Linked DNA regions of Caenorhabditis elegans. The protein of the gene in region 1 purifies or fractionates together with the protein of each later gene. This does not show direct contact. Each region holds a gene or a part of one and is shown on either strand. Other genes may lie near its edges.

The links.
Region 2: the proteins of ehbp-1 (region 1) and homt-1 fractionate together in Caenorhabditis elegans (co-fractionation; one large-scale study listed by BioGRID). This does not show direct contact.

Annotation. Positions count from the first base shown.
Region 1 is NC_003283.11:9,548,839-9,556,783, forward strand, and holds ehbp-1 (EH domain-binding protein 1), read left to right. Parts: upstream 1-1,805; coding exon 1,806-1,880; intron 1,881-1,922; coding exon 1,923-1,987; intron 1,988-2,159; coding exon 2,160-2,614; intron 2,615-2,665; coding exon 2,666-2,794; intron 2,795-3,114; coding exon 3,115-3,334; intron 3,335-3,383; coding exon 3,384-4,071; intron 4,072-4,521; coding exon 4,522-4,687; intron 4,688-4,787; coding exon 4,788-4,865; intron 4,866-4,943; coding exon 4,944-5,003; intron 5,004-5,096; coding exon 5,097-5,158; intron 5,159-5,780; coding exon 5,781-5,900; intron 5,901-6,014; coding exon 6,015-6,170; intron 6,171-6,218; coding exon 6,219-6,532; intron 6,533-6,789; coding exon 6,790-6,907; 3' UTR 6,908-7,194; downstream 7,195-7,945. Other genes in the region: nstp-10 (GDP-fucose transporter), read right to left, coding at 16-70, 117-202, 972-998; rgef-1 (Ras guanyl-releasing protein 3), read right to left, coding at 7,878-7,945.
Region 2 is NC_003279.8:3,955-12,083, reverse strand, and holds homt-1 (Alpha N-terminal protein methyltransferase 1), read left to right. Parts: upstream 1-1,853; 5' UTR 1,854-1,935; coding exon 1,936-1,989; intron 1,990-2,237; coding exon 2,238-2,357; intron 2,358-5,756; coding exon 5,757-6,047; intron 6,048-6,787; coding exon 6,788-6,889; intron 6,890-7,725; coding exon 7,726-7,863; 3' UTR 7,864-7,968; downstream 7,969-8,129. Other genes in the region: nlp-40 (Peptide P4), read right to left, coding at 395-443. UniProt on the Caenorhabditis elegans protein: Alpha-N-methyltransferase that methylates the N-terminus of target proteins containing the N-terminal motif [Ala/Pro/Ser]-Pro-Lys when the initiator Met is cleaved.

The DNA.
Region 1 (7,945 bases):
AATTGAACAATTTACCTGCACACTAGACAGCAAATACTTGTTGAGAAACACTAATCCTATTGAGAAGACCCTGAAATTGGAAAATTTAGTTGAATAAAGAAACCTGAATAGCGTACCAATATGCTGAAACAGCTGTGATGACCTGCTTGTAACTCTCCCATTTGGTTGGATTCTCACGATTTCTCATAGCTTCGAAGAGGGCCTAAATTAGAATGAAACGTTTATGAATGGTAGTTAAGGCGGGAGGCAGGACAAACATAGAACGTGGAAAACGTAGAAATGGAAGAGGACGAGAAACAGGCAACACCCGACAACTAGGCCATTGTTGTCGAGTTAATTGCGGGCATTGCTGCCGCAGTTTCTGCTCGATTATTCAGCTTTCTAAGGTTTTAAAGAGTTTGAATTCGTATAAAAATTATTTATAATTAATTGAGACATTTGTAAAAGTTTAACAAAGGTGAAAAAGTAGTTTGTTCACAATAAAATTAACAATATCGTGAGTAATTCTTTACCTGCTTAAGAAATAATCAATATCGAAATCGGCTTTTAACTTTTTTAAAAATATAATTTAATTTTTTAATTTGTGAGAATACAAACGCATTTATGGAGGGAATTACCAAGGAAATAAAAGAAATAAAAGAAAAACCCCTCTGCAAAAATTATTTCGGAAAAAAAATGTTTTCAAACAGAATAACAATGTGCAAACACGGCCACGTCGAATTACACAATATTCTATTTACAGTAACGTGTCTGCGTTTTTGCGTGACTGTGAATGCAGACGCAAAAAGACGTAAACGTTTTTCACGGCCCGGCAAGTGGTACATCCATGCAAATGCGCTCTACTGATAATTGGAGTGTAGACCTCTCCAATTTTTTATATGCATCATAAAAAAATACCACTTCTCGGGCCGTGTTTTTTAGACCAATTTTTGAAAACGGTTTTTCAATATATTGTTGCAATAAATATCTACTTTGTTGTTTTCTTCATGCAGTTTCATCGTATTAAATTAATTTTTGTCAAACAATCACTGTGGTTATGCATATAGTTCTCGATCAAACCATTTATGTTCCTCACGTTTATTAAATATCGCATTTTCGATAGCTCCTCATGTTTTCTGAAAACGTTACTTAATGGTGTTTTCAGAATAAAAATTAACTTATTTATTCTGACTGCCATTTTTTGTTTATGGGAGAACACTTGAACTTCGACGGCGCGCTGAGCAGAGTTAGTGTAACGGGCGCTGGCAGCTGACTGATACATAACGACGAACACTCGAAAAGTAGCACTTGTAACTAAATGCTAAATCGAAAACCTACCGAGAGCGTGAGAGATGGCAAGAAGTGGCCATAAATCTTTGTATCGGCGGTCTCAAGTGACCAATCCAACTCGATCTAGTAACATTACACGATGCTCTACTGTCAGATTGTTTTTGTTATTCTCTCCTCTCCCTTTCAGTTTTACTAAATTTCTATTGTTCATTTTCTTTAAAATAATACAAATTCTTGTGAATCACTGGATAAAATAACATATTTCAGACCTTCTCTTTGGAGCTCCAAATGCTCTTTTCTTTTTACCTCTGTCACTCTCTTTTCCTTCTAGTCTATCGCCTCTCGCTCATTTTATCAAATCTTCTCGCCGCCGTTGTCGAATGAGGAGGAGGAAGACGGCTGCGCCCATTCCTCTCGGTTTCCGCCGCCTTTCCTTTCTTCTCATCTCCTCAAATATCCATTTCCGTACGACAAATCGAAAAGAAATTCTTCGCATTACGCACCTGATTACCATTGTTTTAACATATAAATTGCAGATGGCGGGTATTCTTCGTCGACTTCGGAGATCCAATAAGAAAGCTGCCAAATTTAGATTTACAGTTACTCTTCAGGTTCGTTCTTGATACTTTTATCTCAATTGTTTATTATTTTAGGAATTACATCTCTACACCGACGAACAATGGAAACCAGAAAACCTTGCAGTTTCTTTCGTTCATAGGTGAATACATTTTCTTATCAAAGAATAATAAATGTCAATCAGAAAATAGACACAATGCATCATGATCATTATGGAAATTTGAAAAAAAAAGAAAAATATTCACAAGAAAATAATACGAATCGAAAATAAATAAAAAATTGTTCATGAAACCTTTATCATACAATTTTTACAGACGACGAAAAGTATCATCAAAGGAACGAAAATGGGAAGAATGTTCGGACGCTAACAAATGTTTGATTATGTGGCCTGAGCAATTTTCAGAGAATATAGATATTCTTACAACATTATATCGTATTGCAAGTGATGAATATGAAGATAAAGAATGGACGATTGTTGTTGAAGAAGTAACTGCTAAAGGAAAAAGAAAAGCAATTGCAGCAGTGCCACTCAATGTTCGCTTATTTATTCTGGATCTACCCGATCATAAAAGTGAACTGAAGCTCAAGCTCCGTCCATTGACGCCTCATTTGAAATTGTGTTCCCTGATTATTCTTCTTGGAAGTTCTCTTATTTCGGAAGTAAATGCAGATGATGTTAGTATTACTTCGTCAGCTGCAGCCTCTTTTGTTGAAAAAGTTCCAGTAACAGATGAAGTTGATGCGAGTGCAAATGATTCCAGAGCAGCAGGTATTTTGATTGAAAAAATACAGTTTATTTCACATAATTTGTTTTTTTAAGCTGCAAGACAACAAATCGACACGACAGCTACAAAAATGATGGAATGGATCAAAGAGGAAAAGGAAATCGCTCCGCCTATTGTTCCAGCACACCGAAAACCTTCCGGAGAGAATGAAAACCCTGCAAAAGGTAATTAGAAATCGTTTTTTAAACCTAATCGTTAGAATTTTTGGCTAGAATATTTTCATGGAAAAAAGTCATATAGCCTAAATTCGTGTGTGGTCATCAAAAAATTTGTAGATTTTTTTCATTTTTTTTTCAAGGAACATCGAAAATCGAAAAAAAAATTCGAAAATTATCCAGAAAATGATATATCAAAATTTGTTTATGTTGATGAAGAAAAAGGATTAAAAAAACCAAAATAAATACTCGAAATTTTTTTTTTCAATTTTTCGGAAAACGAAAAATCGAAAAACCGACACCCGTGGCTCTTATAGAATGTATTTCAGTTCGTCCCCAATGGAGAGTATCAGCTGAAGAAGAAAAAACGTCACAACCAGCAGCTCCAGCGCCAATTGCAACCAACAGACATAGTCGGTCAAGCCGTGCTTCGACAGAAGAAAAAGCGTCTACAACAATAGAATTCCGTGTGGATTCCAATTCTCGGCATGTTCCAGTTACAGCAATCGCTACACCATATTATCTTCAAAGTGGAACAATGAGTAGAGGGTATTGTTTGGTTACTTTTCTCACAATCATAATTTTTTTTCAATTTCAGAAGATCAAATTCTCCGAGAGCTCCATCTAGAGATGCTGTCCCTCAACCGATCGATGGAGAGACTTTACTTTCATGGTGTCAGAGAGTTACTAACGGATATTCGCATGTAAAAGTTAATGATTTTATGAAATCTTGGAACAACGGATTGGCCTTGTGTGCAGTTCTTCATTCTTATCGCCCGGATCTCATTGGAGATTACGAAACACTGGATATCTCTAATAATATGTCTGGACGCATTTCGAATATTCAAAGAGCCCTCGATTCACTTACTTTGATAGGAATAACAGAAGTACCAACAGTTGATATGTTTCTGACTCCTGATCGGAAACAAATAGAATTTCTTCTTCAACATCTTCGCCGAATCTTTGAAGGATTTGACGAGGGATCTACACCAGCCAGTGCTTCTGATCACAGAATATCCAGAACATTTGGAATTAATGAATCCGAAGAAAAAGTTGTTGCCATGATTACAGAAATTCGAAATCAAAAAGATCTCGAAGAAGCTGTGGATTATAGACACATTCCTGATGAAGTTCCTGTTACACCACAGTTGGCTAGTCGCAATCCGGCTCTCAATCAACCAACTGACGCTGATGACGATGATGCTGAAACTTCAAATATGCGCTTTGAGAGAAGTAATGTAAGCATAACCATGGTGACTCCAGGAGTTGGAGCAATTCGTGCATCGGTGAGTTTTTATTGAAAAAAAAAATTTTAAAATTTTAAATATTTAGTTTTTGTTTTTTTGTTGAATTTCGAATTGAATAATGCTAATTATTTAAAATAGTTATTGAAATCTTTTTTCACTTCAATTCTACCATTTTTAAGATACTTTGTGTGTATAATATAACTGAAATTATAGGAAAAAAACAGGTTCTTTCAATCGTCAGATTTCTTGGTATATTTTCTTATTTTATTTTTTTAATGCAATTTATAAGGTTATACATAACTGAACATTTCCTACTACCATATAACAGCTTGATAAAAATTGCGACACAACTTAAAAAACTTATTAAATACTCGCCCTTATAAAACTCAATTACATTTGTTCCCAGCGAAATAGTCTAATCAATTCTTTTTCCTAATAGATATCCAATTTTACGAGATTCTTATTTTTGAAAATCTTTACAACTTTCAGAATCGTGCATCACCTTCAAAGCGAGATGAACTACGCCAAAGAGCACGTGATTTAATTGAAAAATCAACAACTCCTGCAGCAACACCAAATTCACGGAAAGCGAGTGATGAAGAGAGAAGACGCGAAGAGGTCAGACGGATGCTGAACGAAAAGCAGCATCCAACGGGTGAGAAGTTTTTAAAAACACAAAAGTTGTCGTGATTCTCTATAGTAATCTCCTTTGTTGTGATTGTTTTAATTATTTCTACCGTGTGTTCCCATTTCAGCAATCCCCTCTACTTCATCATCACCATATCCCACTTTCCGTCGTATCGATGGATCAAATACCGATCTTCGTCGTATTGGTTTGTAACATTTTCAGATCATGCTCCGATTTAATTGTTTTAGTGTTGTGACAAAGCATGTAGTGAATTTATTTTCAGAACTCGATGTACACAAGTTCAAGAAACGTGATCCATCTCCGACGCTCGTCCGCAAACAATGTACATTTTATTATTTCCTCATAGTGCAGTGATTTTTAACATGTCAATTGCATTATTAGGAACAATTTCATCTTAATTTTGTTTTAATTACAGACGATCCCAATGATACTCCTCATGTGCCAGCAATTGGTCGTGGCAGAACAAATGGAAATCGGGTCAGTCATTAATATATTTAAATTCTCGGCATTTCGTGCCTACTTTCTCCCACCTTTTCGCCTTCCGGCAAAAAGGTGGGAGAAAGAAGACGCGAAATGCCGAGTTAACAGTTTAATCCCGAATAGAGCATTATTGGCAACACCGATTCAGGAAAAATATGTGTACCTTTAAAGATACAGTTACTTCAAATCCTCGTTGGTGAGGTATTTTCATAGATTTTTCATAGTTTTTCGATAAAACTTTTTTTTTTATAAAAAACTAAAATAAAACAATAAAACACACATAAATTTAAAAAAAAACTATGAAGAATCGATGAAATATCGACAAATACGAGAGCTTGAAACCTTGCGTCAAGACCAGCTACCGTATATTTTGTCGCAAACTATTTTGTCAGTGTAATAAGTTGTCTGATTTTCAATTTTAAACATTTGAGTATTATTTTAAGCTTTAAATATGAATGTTGTCAATTAGCTGTCAATACCACTAGCAATCCTCATTTCTATCTAACCATAATTTTTCTTTCGTCGATATTATCTTTAGTTCTTCTCTGTTCTATATTTTCTTTTTTATCATACACCGCATTGTACAGTATGCCTAACAAGTGTTTTGCTCACATTTCAGAACGATTCATCAACTCCTTCATCAGCTTCTACATTTGATCGTGTCAAGAGATATGGGAGTATGCGTAGTGCAGAATTGAAAGAATCGTTGCAGTTGATGGCGAAACAATACGGATACATGGTTTGTGATGTTGTAAAAAGTGTAATGTAATGATTTTTGCTTCTATTTTAATCAACATAAAATTTAATCATGGGTGCAAATTGAAAGTTACCGTCTAAATGTTATTATTTTTAGGGAAACGATTTCGAATCATCTTCGCAAGACGCTCTGGCGACACCAACCAAAAAGTTCTCTTCCCAATGGGAAAAAGACGTCGATGACGTTGAAGGAACCGCCAATGAGCTTGTTCGTATTGACGAACGTATATCGGATATTACAGCACAAGCCGATGTAAGATTCTGAGAATTAAAGGATTAATTCAGTTTGTTTTGTTTTCAGGTTATTCAAGACAAGATCCGTGAAACAGAAGTTGGAAGTTCAGAAGAAGAAATGTTGACTGCATCATATCTTGAGTTGACAAATGAACGGAACACTCTTGTACATCGACAGGAATACTATAATATCATTGAGACAATTCGTCAGGTTACTTCGGAAATTGACCAATTGGGAAAACAAATCAATGAAGTTCCTGATGATTTCCCTCGTTCTGATGAGAATAAGACGGCAACGGATAAACTGATTGAACAATATAGTGATGCTATGAAAACAAAAAGTAACTTGGTTCAAAAGTTATTTGCAACTGAGGACGAAATGTAAGTGTTTATTGCTTTGTTGAACCACGTGGTGTCAGGCTGTCCCATCACGGTTTGATCTACAAAAAATGCTGGAATTTTTCGCCTAAGAAAGTGCCGTCAGCACGTTCTTAACCATGCGAAATCAGTTGAGAACTCTTCGTCTCAACTTCCGAATTTTTTGTAGATCTACGTAGATCAAACCGAATGGGACATTCTGACACCACGTAATAAACTACTTTCAGTGAAACTAATGAAACAACATTCGAAATTTTCAGCGAAGAAGATTCGGATCGTTTGAAGAACCTTACTTTGGATAGGGCTACTCGCTTTGTTCGTGGAATAGATCAGCCTGTTTCAGCATCGAAGCGACTTATTCAATGGTGGCGCCGTTAATACGCTTCAACGTTATTTATTACTCAATTTAAAACTACGGGTCTTCTTCTCTTTCTGAAAACAAAGTTTCTCCCAGTGTCCCTTTGTTATCTTCTATCATTTTTTCTCCTTTCCATAATTCACTCTTTCCCGTTTTTTTGGCAAATTTTTAGGAGTTAATCAAAACATCAAATTTTTCTCTATCTTTTCATCTCTATGTGTATATTTTTGTATTCAGTTTTCTTTTCTCTCGGTGCACACAAATCCAAATGCTTTCAGCTTTCAATAAATCAATTCAGAGTTTTAAATGATGTTCAGCAAAAATTCATTCGAAAAAAGAGGAAAGTGTGTGGAAGACTGGTGAAAAATACTTTACACGTGGAAATATTTAGCGTAGAGATCAAACAAGTGGGATAGGAAAAAGCAAGCTCGAATTGTGAGGGAATGTACTGAAAGAAAAAACAAATAAATTTGAGAAATTGAGTGATATGGTTAAAAAATGAATCGCATTTTGCAGGAAAAAATACTCGTATGCATTAATTTGAAGAAAAATAGATGAGAAGAATAAACTTAATATTGTACTCTCATATTACGAGAACACTAAATCCTGAGAAGGCGTATTGCGCAACATATTTGACGCGCAAAATATCTGACCGAAAACTACAGTAACTTTTTAAATGACTACTGTAGTGCTGGTGTCGATTTACGGGATCGATTTTCACTTATGTTCGAATTGCGACAGTGATATTCAGTTTTTCGTATTGTTTTGTCATTTTTGTGTTTCTTTTAATATTTAATCGATTAATAAAATGTTTCCGTAAATCGACACTAGCGCTACGGTATTCATTTAAAGTGTTACTGTAGTTTTCGCTACGGGATATTTTGCGCGTCAAATATGTTGCGCAACACGCATTCCCAGAATTCAGTGTTTGTGTAATATATTCTTGCTAAAAATAAAGAGAGTGCAGAGAAAGAGATAGATGGAGACAAATCAGGCGGTACGGTATGACGCAGATGAAATATCTGCTAGATCATCATCTTCGAAGACTTCTTCACAAG
Region 2 (8,129 bases), on another chromosome or scaffold:
ACTAATTTTATTAATTAAACGTTTTTCTGTAATAAATTCTAAATTCTTACCACTTTCGAGCATTCAAAAGCATAATTTCAGACAAGAATTTCCAGACTCCCAGAGGTCCGTTGCAGAATTTGAAAGCATATTCTTGTAGCCAATGATCTCAGCTTCCGTTTGGCATATGTGGCGTCTCTAGGTACCTCACCCCTAAGCTGACCTAGTCAGAATTTTCATTGATTTTTCATAAAGAAGAAGTCGTGAGAAAAACGATGAATTGATGAAAATTAAGCAGAAACGAAAATTCGAAACTACATTACTCACTGCTTTTCGAATTTAACAAAAATATTGCCATACCGAGACCGGCAACTGTATTTTTGGCGGAAAAGTATTATCTAAAGCATAAACTCACCAAAAACCGCAACTGTCGCAACAAAAGATAGCAGAATTACGAGTTTCATGTTGATTGTGTATGTTTGGCTTACTGTAAATGAAATTTTTTTTTTCGAAAGAAACAATTATAATTTTAAAAAATCATACGTTCTTCTCGATCTCTAGAACCGAAGAAGTTTGGGTGGCGCTGGAGGGTGACGCGGCAAGAATGAGTAGCTCTCGGAGCCGCCGTTCAGGCCACGCCCTGCTCTAGGGGGCGGGCATGCGCAACAAGGGCCGTCACGAGAAAGAGAAGGAAAAAATAAGGATGACCTATGTGCCCTTCTAGAACATTGAAGATAATCAAAAGCGATGAAAAATTGATGACGTCATCAGCTCGCCGCGAAAAAAGAGCGGCGTTGCGCGCCAAAAGTGTGAAAGACTGAAAGTGTTATCAGTACCATGTAAGATAGGGGGGGGGGGGGGGGTTTATGTCGAGAAGGCATACACAGGTGGAGTCTTTCAAAATTAGACACAGAAATTATTGGAGAAGAATAGAGCGGGGCAAACACTATTTTTGGGTTTCCGTGTTTTTTTTTCCGCTTCGTTTTCTCTTCCAGTGACGCATTGTCTCTGAATTGGAAATACAAGAGTCTCACCTATACCTGGAGGCCTCCATGGAGGTCGTAATGTTTGTCGGAGTAGAGTTATTACGGGAAAATATTTTACGCGCAAAATATCTCGTAGCGAAAACTAATGATTACTGTAGCACATGTGTCGATCTACGGGCTCGAATGAAATTAAATTAATTCAAATCATTTATTTATTTATTTAGAATATTAATTGAGCGAAAAAATGTAATTAAAAATTCATTCCTGAAAATCGAGATTCCGTAAATCGACACAAGCGCGCTACAATAGTCATCAGTTTTCGCTACCTTAAAACTTGCAAATTTCCGCGACTTTTCAAACCAATCAGCGACTTCGAACTCCGCCTACTCGATCTGATTGGCCGGAATATGGGGCGGAACGAATCTCTGTTCGGTCGCAGTTCTAATTTTGGAGGGAGTTACGGACATAATTTAATAATAGATTAAATATTAGAAGAAAACAGAAAAATGGCAAAAAATACGAAAAGACTATACCAAATTGAATATGGCTGTCACAATTCGAGCAGAAATTCGTTTCGAGAATCGAGCCCGTAAGTCAACACAAAGGCTACAGTAGTCTTTTGAAGAATTGCTGTAGTTTTCGCTGAGCGTCAAATATGTTGCAGCAATGAGAGTTACAAACTACAGTACTCTTTAAAGGTGCATACCTTCACATTTAACAAAAATAGTCGTGTCGAGACCGTATGCCGTAAATCGACACTGATAGCCGTGGCCTAGTTTTCCAGATTTTTCTTGTGTTTCTCTTCCATTAAAAAAACGCACATGTCTGTTTATCTTTCTCGTAATAATTTTCCCGATGAACTAGTAAATATAAATATCTCATTTCCAGTATCATCATCATATCCGTGACCTCTCGTCTTTTCGTCACAAAAGTCTCCAGATTGCTCGGAGCAGCTGTCACAACATCAAAAATGAGCTCTTCATCATCTTCTAGAATTCACAATGGTGAAGATGTTTATGAAAAGGTACAAAATCAAAAAGTTCGGCCAGCACGCAAATCTTTTGCGGAGAATTTTAGACCAAAAATTAAAAAAAAAACCGAAACATTTTTTGAAAAAAAACTTTTTTATTTAAAATTATCGAAAATACTAAGTTTTTCTGAAAAAAGCTGAAAATTTGAAAAAAAAACTCTATAACATGTAAGAATTTTTGAAAAAAACTAAAAAAAAAATTTTTAAGTCTCAAAACAATGTTTTCAACTATTCTCTTTCAGGCGGAGGAATACTGGAGCCGCGCGAGCCAGGACGTCAACGGAATGCTCGGCGGATTCGAAGCGCTTCACGCGCCCGACATATCGGCGTCGAAACGATTTATTGAAGGACTGAAGAAAAAGGTATAGAAATCATCGATTTTTCAGGAAAAGCAAGAAAGATCGGTTTAAAAAATTATGAAATTTTATTTTAAAAATCGAAAAATCAACAAAAAAAATCGAAATTTTAGAATTTTTCTAAAATCGGTAGTTTTCGAAATAAAATAAAAATGTTATTTTAAAAATTATTTTAAAAAATTTCGAGAAATTCAAAAATCGAACAGAAATGTTCGATTTTTTGCTACAGTGCATTTTTTTTCCACTTCTACGACTTTAAAGGGGGGCGCATTTATGCGGAAGGGTCTTGCCGTGCACATAGTCATCATTTTTAACAAAGTCTGCTCAAAATTCGCGGAGATCACGCGTAGATCACAATTAATTTGTGAAAAAGCAACAGAAATACGAAATATGGGATAAATATTTTGTGATCTTCATGTGATCTACGCGAATTTTACACAGAAACTGCTAAAAATGATGACTAAATGCGCGGCAAGACCCTTCCGCATAAATGCTCCCCCCTTTAAAGTCGTAGAAGTAGGAAAAAATGCACTGTATGGTGAATTTGAAAATTTTCTAAAAATCCGAATAATTTAGTATATTGGGGTTTCGACGAAAAATGCCAATTTTTCAGTAATTTCTGGTCTTTTCTAAAAAAATCTACATATTTCAGATCTCTTCCTCCTTTTCCGAGTTTTTTCGTTATTTTTTCTAAACTCACAGTATATTAGCGAATTTTCAACAAATTCGACAAAAAATTCTGACTGTTTTCTAGAAAAAAAAAAAGGCGGCATGCGCAAGTTTCAAAATTTGCCGCACACCTCTGGGCATTACCTTGAAAGTATCAATGGAAAAGTGTCGCAAGATTTAATTTTCTGATATTCCCCCCCCCCCTCCCGTTTTACTTGTTTCTAGGTTTGAGTTTACTTAAATTAATAACAAAACTGGGAGATATATGCTCGAAAATTAGACAGAATCTCTGCCTGGACGATTTCTAGGCTACGCCGTCATTCCCATAGTTTTCATAATCTTTCGGCTCAGTGATCGAAGCTCGCCGCGCCAGCCGGCACAGTAAGATTTAAAATCAGGTTATCACCCCATGCGTGAAGATTTTTTTCGTGTTTTTTGTCTGAAAAATAATGACAAATCTGTGTTTGGGTAGGCCTAATGAGGTCACCTGATTACGGCTGATGAGCAAAGCAGAACTTTTTTTGCAAAAAACTTATCATTGGGGGGTTCTGAGAAATAGACGAATTTCTGAGAAAGTTATGAGAAATAAATAGACGGCCTAAAAACCCCATGGCCGAAGCTTTTTTCTAGATAGCATAATGATGGCCTAGAAAAAACTCTACCACTGGAGAAACTTAATCGGTGTGCTCATTTTCTACCTGGTCGGGGATTTTGGAAAACTTTTCCACACCTCGTAACGACTTGAGGATAACTCAGCTCTGTCGAAATAGCATCCTGATGGCCTAGGAAAAGCTCTTCCACTGAAAATGTTTGGTCGTCCTGTCTATTTCTCTCATGGTCGAAGATTTTCAAAACTCTTCCACAGCTCCGAACGACGACCTGTAGTCACGATCAGGATTTGGAGGTCAATTCTCCTCGTACGATATCTTCTCACCTGAAAACTAGGTGAATTCCGTCGTGTGGAGCCTGAACGCTTCCCATTTTCACGTGACCGAAAATTTTGTAAGACCTCTTCCACCTCGAATTTCTCGGCAGAAGTGGGGTACTGTAATCTCAATTTTCTGGCAGATGCTCCAAAATGTTAATTTCTGTAATTTTCGAATTTTCGATGCACCATGTCTGAAATAATACCAGCTGGAAGAGTTTTCCAATTTTCTAGGCTACGCGGCAATTTCTGACCTTTTAGAAAGTTGTTGCAATATAGGTTTGCTATGAAAAATTCAATTAAATCTTTTTCCGAGTCTTCTTTCCCGGAAATCAAATAAAACGCCGAAACTTTTTTCTCATTTTCTTTTGATGGAAAATGAGAAAACACGGCAGATTTTCAATATTACTTTGGCACCCAAAACGCTTTTTGTTTTCAGAGAATGATTCTTTCTTGTTGTTTGCCAACGCACGCCACACATTACCACATATGACGAATCTTCCGCTTGTTTCGAAAATGACTTTCAATGGGGAGAGAAAGGGGAATATTCTTGAAATATGAGGCAAAAGTTGCGATTTTTTTGGAGTTGACTGATGGGAAATGCGCATAAAAAGGCGGTGAAAGGCTAAAAGTTTGTAAATCTGGTGTAAAAACTCGGATCCTAGAAATATACCCAAATTTAATGAGGTCTGAACTGAAATTTTCTGTATTTATTTTAAATTTATTATACTCAGAGAAGGAGTGAAGGTTCGGAATTTTTCTATAGACCCTATTTATTTTCCTGATTCCGAATATCAATGTGAAAAAATTAAAACAAATTTTCCTCATTTTCATAAATTTTTGTAACCAAGTGTGAAATTCAAACGACAATTTTTGTCGCTTACAAAAATTTATATAAAATCAGGGAATTTTTTTTGAATTTTTCACATTGGTATTCGGAATCAGAGAACATAAATAGGGTATATAGAAACATTTTCGTTTTCCTTTATTTTATAAATTCTGAAATTTTCGTATAAACCACGACACGGCTAACAAATTTGCATGAAAGTTTTTTAGCCTTAAAAAAAACAACATTGAAAGAATGATGAATAATGGTTTTTGACGGAATATAGGCGATAAACGCCAAAAAGTGTCTATCGTATAAATTTTGAGACTGACGGGGGCTATACGTTTATGAGCCGTAGAAAATTTTATTTTCATCAAATTTTTATGAGATTAACATTCGGTCGAACATATAGGGGTTTTCAAACCCCGATTTTGAAAGTATAGGCCCAAATTGTGCTCAAATAAACGAATGTCGTAATAATACTTCTCAAAAATGGTTCAAAGTTTTTTATGTGGCTCAAAATTTCGAAAAATGGCCCAATTACCGAAATTAGACTTTTCGGCAAACGGGAAAAACGGCAAATGCAAAATATTTTTGCCAACTTGTGGGTTTGCACATGTTTTTTTGTTGGAAATTTCAGAATTTCAATTTTTAAAACAACAAAATTGTCCTACATCTATTCTGAAAAGTCAGTAAATTCTATAAAAATATCTGAAGAAAACGGGAAAAAAAATTCAAAAAAGCACTGTGTTTCCGTCTTAATAAAAATTCCTTTGAGAAATTCCTGCAAATTGATATCCGGCAAACGGAAAATCGTCAGTTTGCCTGAATTGAAAATTAAATTTAAAAAAGGTAAATTCGGCGAACCGGCAAATTGTCGTTTTTGTCAAATTTTCGGCAAATTCAGAAAATTGACAATTTGCCGATTTGCTTGAAATTGCCGGTCACCCCTGGGCCAACTTTGAATTTTATAAATATTTTCCAGAATCTATTCGGCTACTTTGACTATGCACTGGACTGCGGAGCGGGTATCGGACGTGTTACAAAGCATCTCTTAATGCCATTCTTCTCGAAAGTTGATATGGAAGACGTCGTCGAGGAGTTGATCACGAAAAGTGATCAATATATTGGAAAACATCCACGAATTGGAGATAAATTCGTCGAAGGACTGCAGACGTTTGCACCGCCCGAACGACGTTATGATTTGATATGGATTCAATGGGTTTCAGGGCATTTGGTTGATGAGGATTTGGTTGATTTCTTTAAAAGATGTGCGGTAAGCACTAGATAGCACTGAAAACTGAAAATATGTTGAAAGTTTATAAATAAGAGGGGGTCTTATTTATTACGTTCATAAATAAAGCATGTAGTTTTTAAACAAAATTCTAGGTAATTGAAATGCTTTGAGTAAAACAGAAAAAAAAATATTTTCGATGCTCCGGTTATTTTTTAAGCGAAATAAAATTGGATTCTTTCTGTAATGAAAAAATAGTAAAAAACAATATTCAACCGAAAAAACTGAGTCTAGAAAATCTGTATCGGTTAAAATTTTTTTTTAAAACAACAATTTTTCACATTAAAAAGTCAATTTCGTACATTTTTTCCGATTAAAAATTTAAATTTAAAAATTAAAAACATTTACTTTTTCGATTTTCTTTCAAAAAAAACCACTGAAAAATCCGGAACATTCGGATTTTTTTTCAATCAATACGATCTCCTTGATTTACAACCTGTTTTATTAAATTTTCAATTTTCCTTTTTATTGAAAAAATCGGGTTTTTAAACTTATGTCCGGTCATTTCCCTAATTTTCAATTTTAAAATTAAACTATTTGCTTACCTGTAATTACAATTTTGACCACAAAACAGAAATTGAAATTTTTCGATTTTTCAGTTTTTTAAAAGATAAAACCCGAAAAACGTGCAGGCCTGGTGGTGGACTCAAAAGTTGAGAAATCTCTGAAAACTGTTTCATTTAAAATAATTCAATTTTTTTAAAATTAATTTTCATTTTCAGAAAGGACTGAAACCTGGTGGATGTATTGTGCTCAAGGATAATGTGACAAATCACGAGAAACGGTTATTCGACGATGATGATCATAGTTGGACGAGAACAGAGGTGCTGGTTTGAGAAAAAATAATAAAAACTTTGAAATTAAAAAAAATTCACAAAAGGCTCATTTTACAAATTATTCTGCAAAAAAAACATTCGAAAACAATTAAAATTTTGAAAAAATGAGAAGGGTGTGTCGATTTACGACGAATTTTTGGACAGTTTGTACAGTTTAAAAAATTTTTGTTTTTGAACCAGTTTTGCCAATTTTTCAAATATTCGCCGAAAAACGGTTCAAATTCACAAATTTTAGCCAAAAACTGTATAAACTTGCCCACGTGTAGTACAAAATCGTTAGTGAATCGACATGCATAAAAAACGCCAAATTCCGAAATATTTAATATTTAAAATTAAAATTCATTTAAAATTGTTGTTTCGTCTCGAAATTTAGAAAATATATTCTGAAAAAGGACATATTTCTTTTATTTTGCCAAAAATTTCAATGTTTTCACCCAGACTCGAAATTTCGCGATATTCGGGTCAAAAATACTGTAATTGGGGTCTCGACACGACACGTTTTTGCGAAATTCGAGCAGGCGTGCACCTTTAAAGAATACTGTAATTTCAAACTATTGTCTCATAGTTTTTTGTTGAAAAGTGATTTATTTAAAGAGAAAAACTATGAAAAATATATGAAAATTCCACAGAAATGAAGTTTTTAAACTACAGTACTTCTTAAAGACACACGCCCGTTTGTATTTCACAAAAATTGTCGTGTCGAGACCCCACTTACTGTAATTTTAGCGCGAAAATCGCAAAACGTCACGTTTGGATAATATCGAAGACAATTTGCACGAAAACAATTTTTTACTAAACATTTTTTAAAACAATTCATTATTCAGCCCGAGCTTCTTAAAGCGTTCGCCGATTCTCAACTGGACATGGTCTCGAAAGCACTGCAAACCGGATTCCCAAAGGAGATTTATCCAGTAAAAATGTATGCATTGAAGCCTCAACACACCGGATTCACCAATAATTGATTTAAATATCGATTTTTATTCGTTTAATTGCAATTTTCCCGAAAATTTCATGTTTTACATGCGTGCTCACGTTATTTCTGTTAAATAAATGTTAAGCAATATTTTAGATGATATTCTGTTGAAAATTTTATTCAAAATTGGTCAATAATCGCTGAAAAGCGCTGAAAAATGACCAAAAACAAAGATTCCCCCACAAAAAGTTACCACCGGTGGGCGGAGTCGCGGCGCACACAACAGACAGCGATCGACGGAACCCGGGAGGTGTC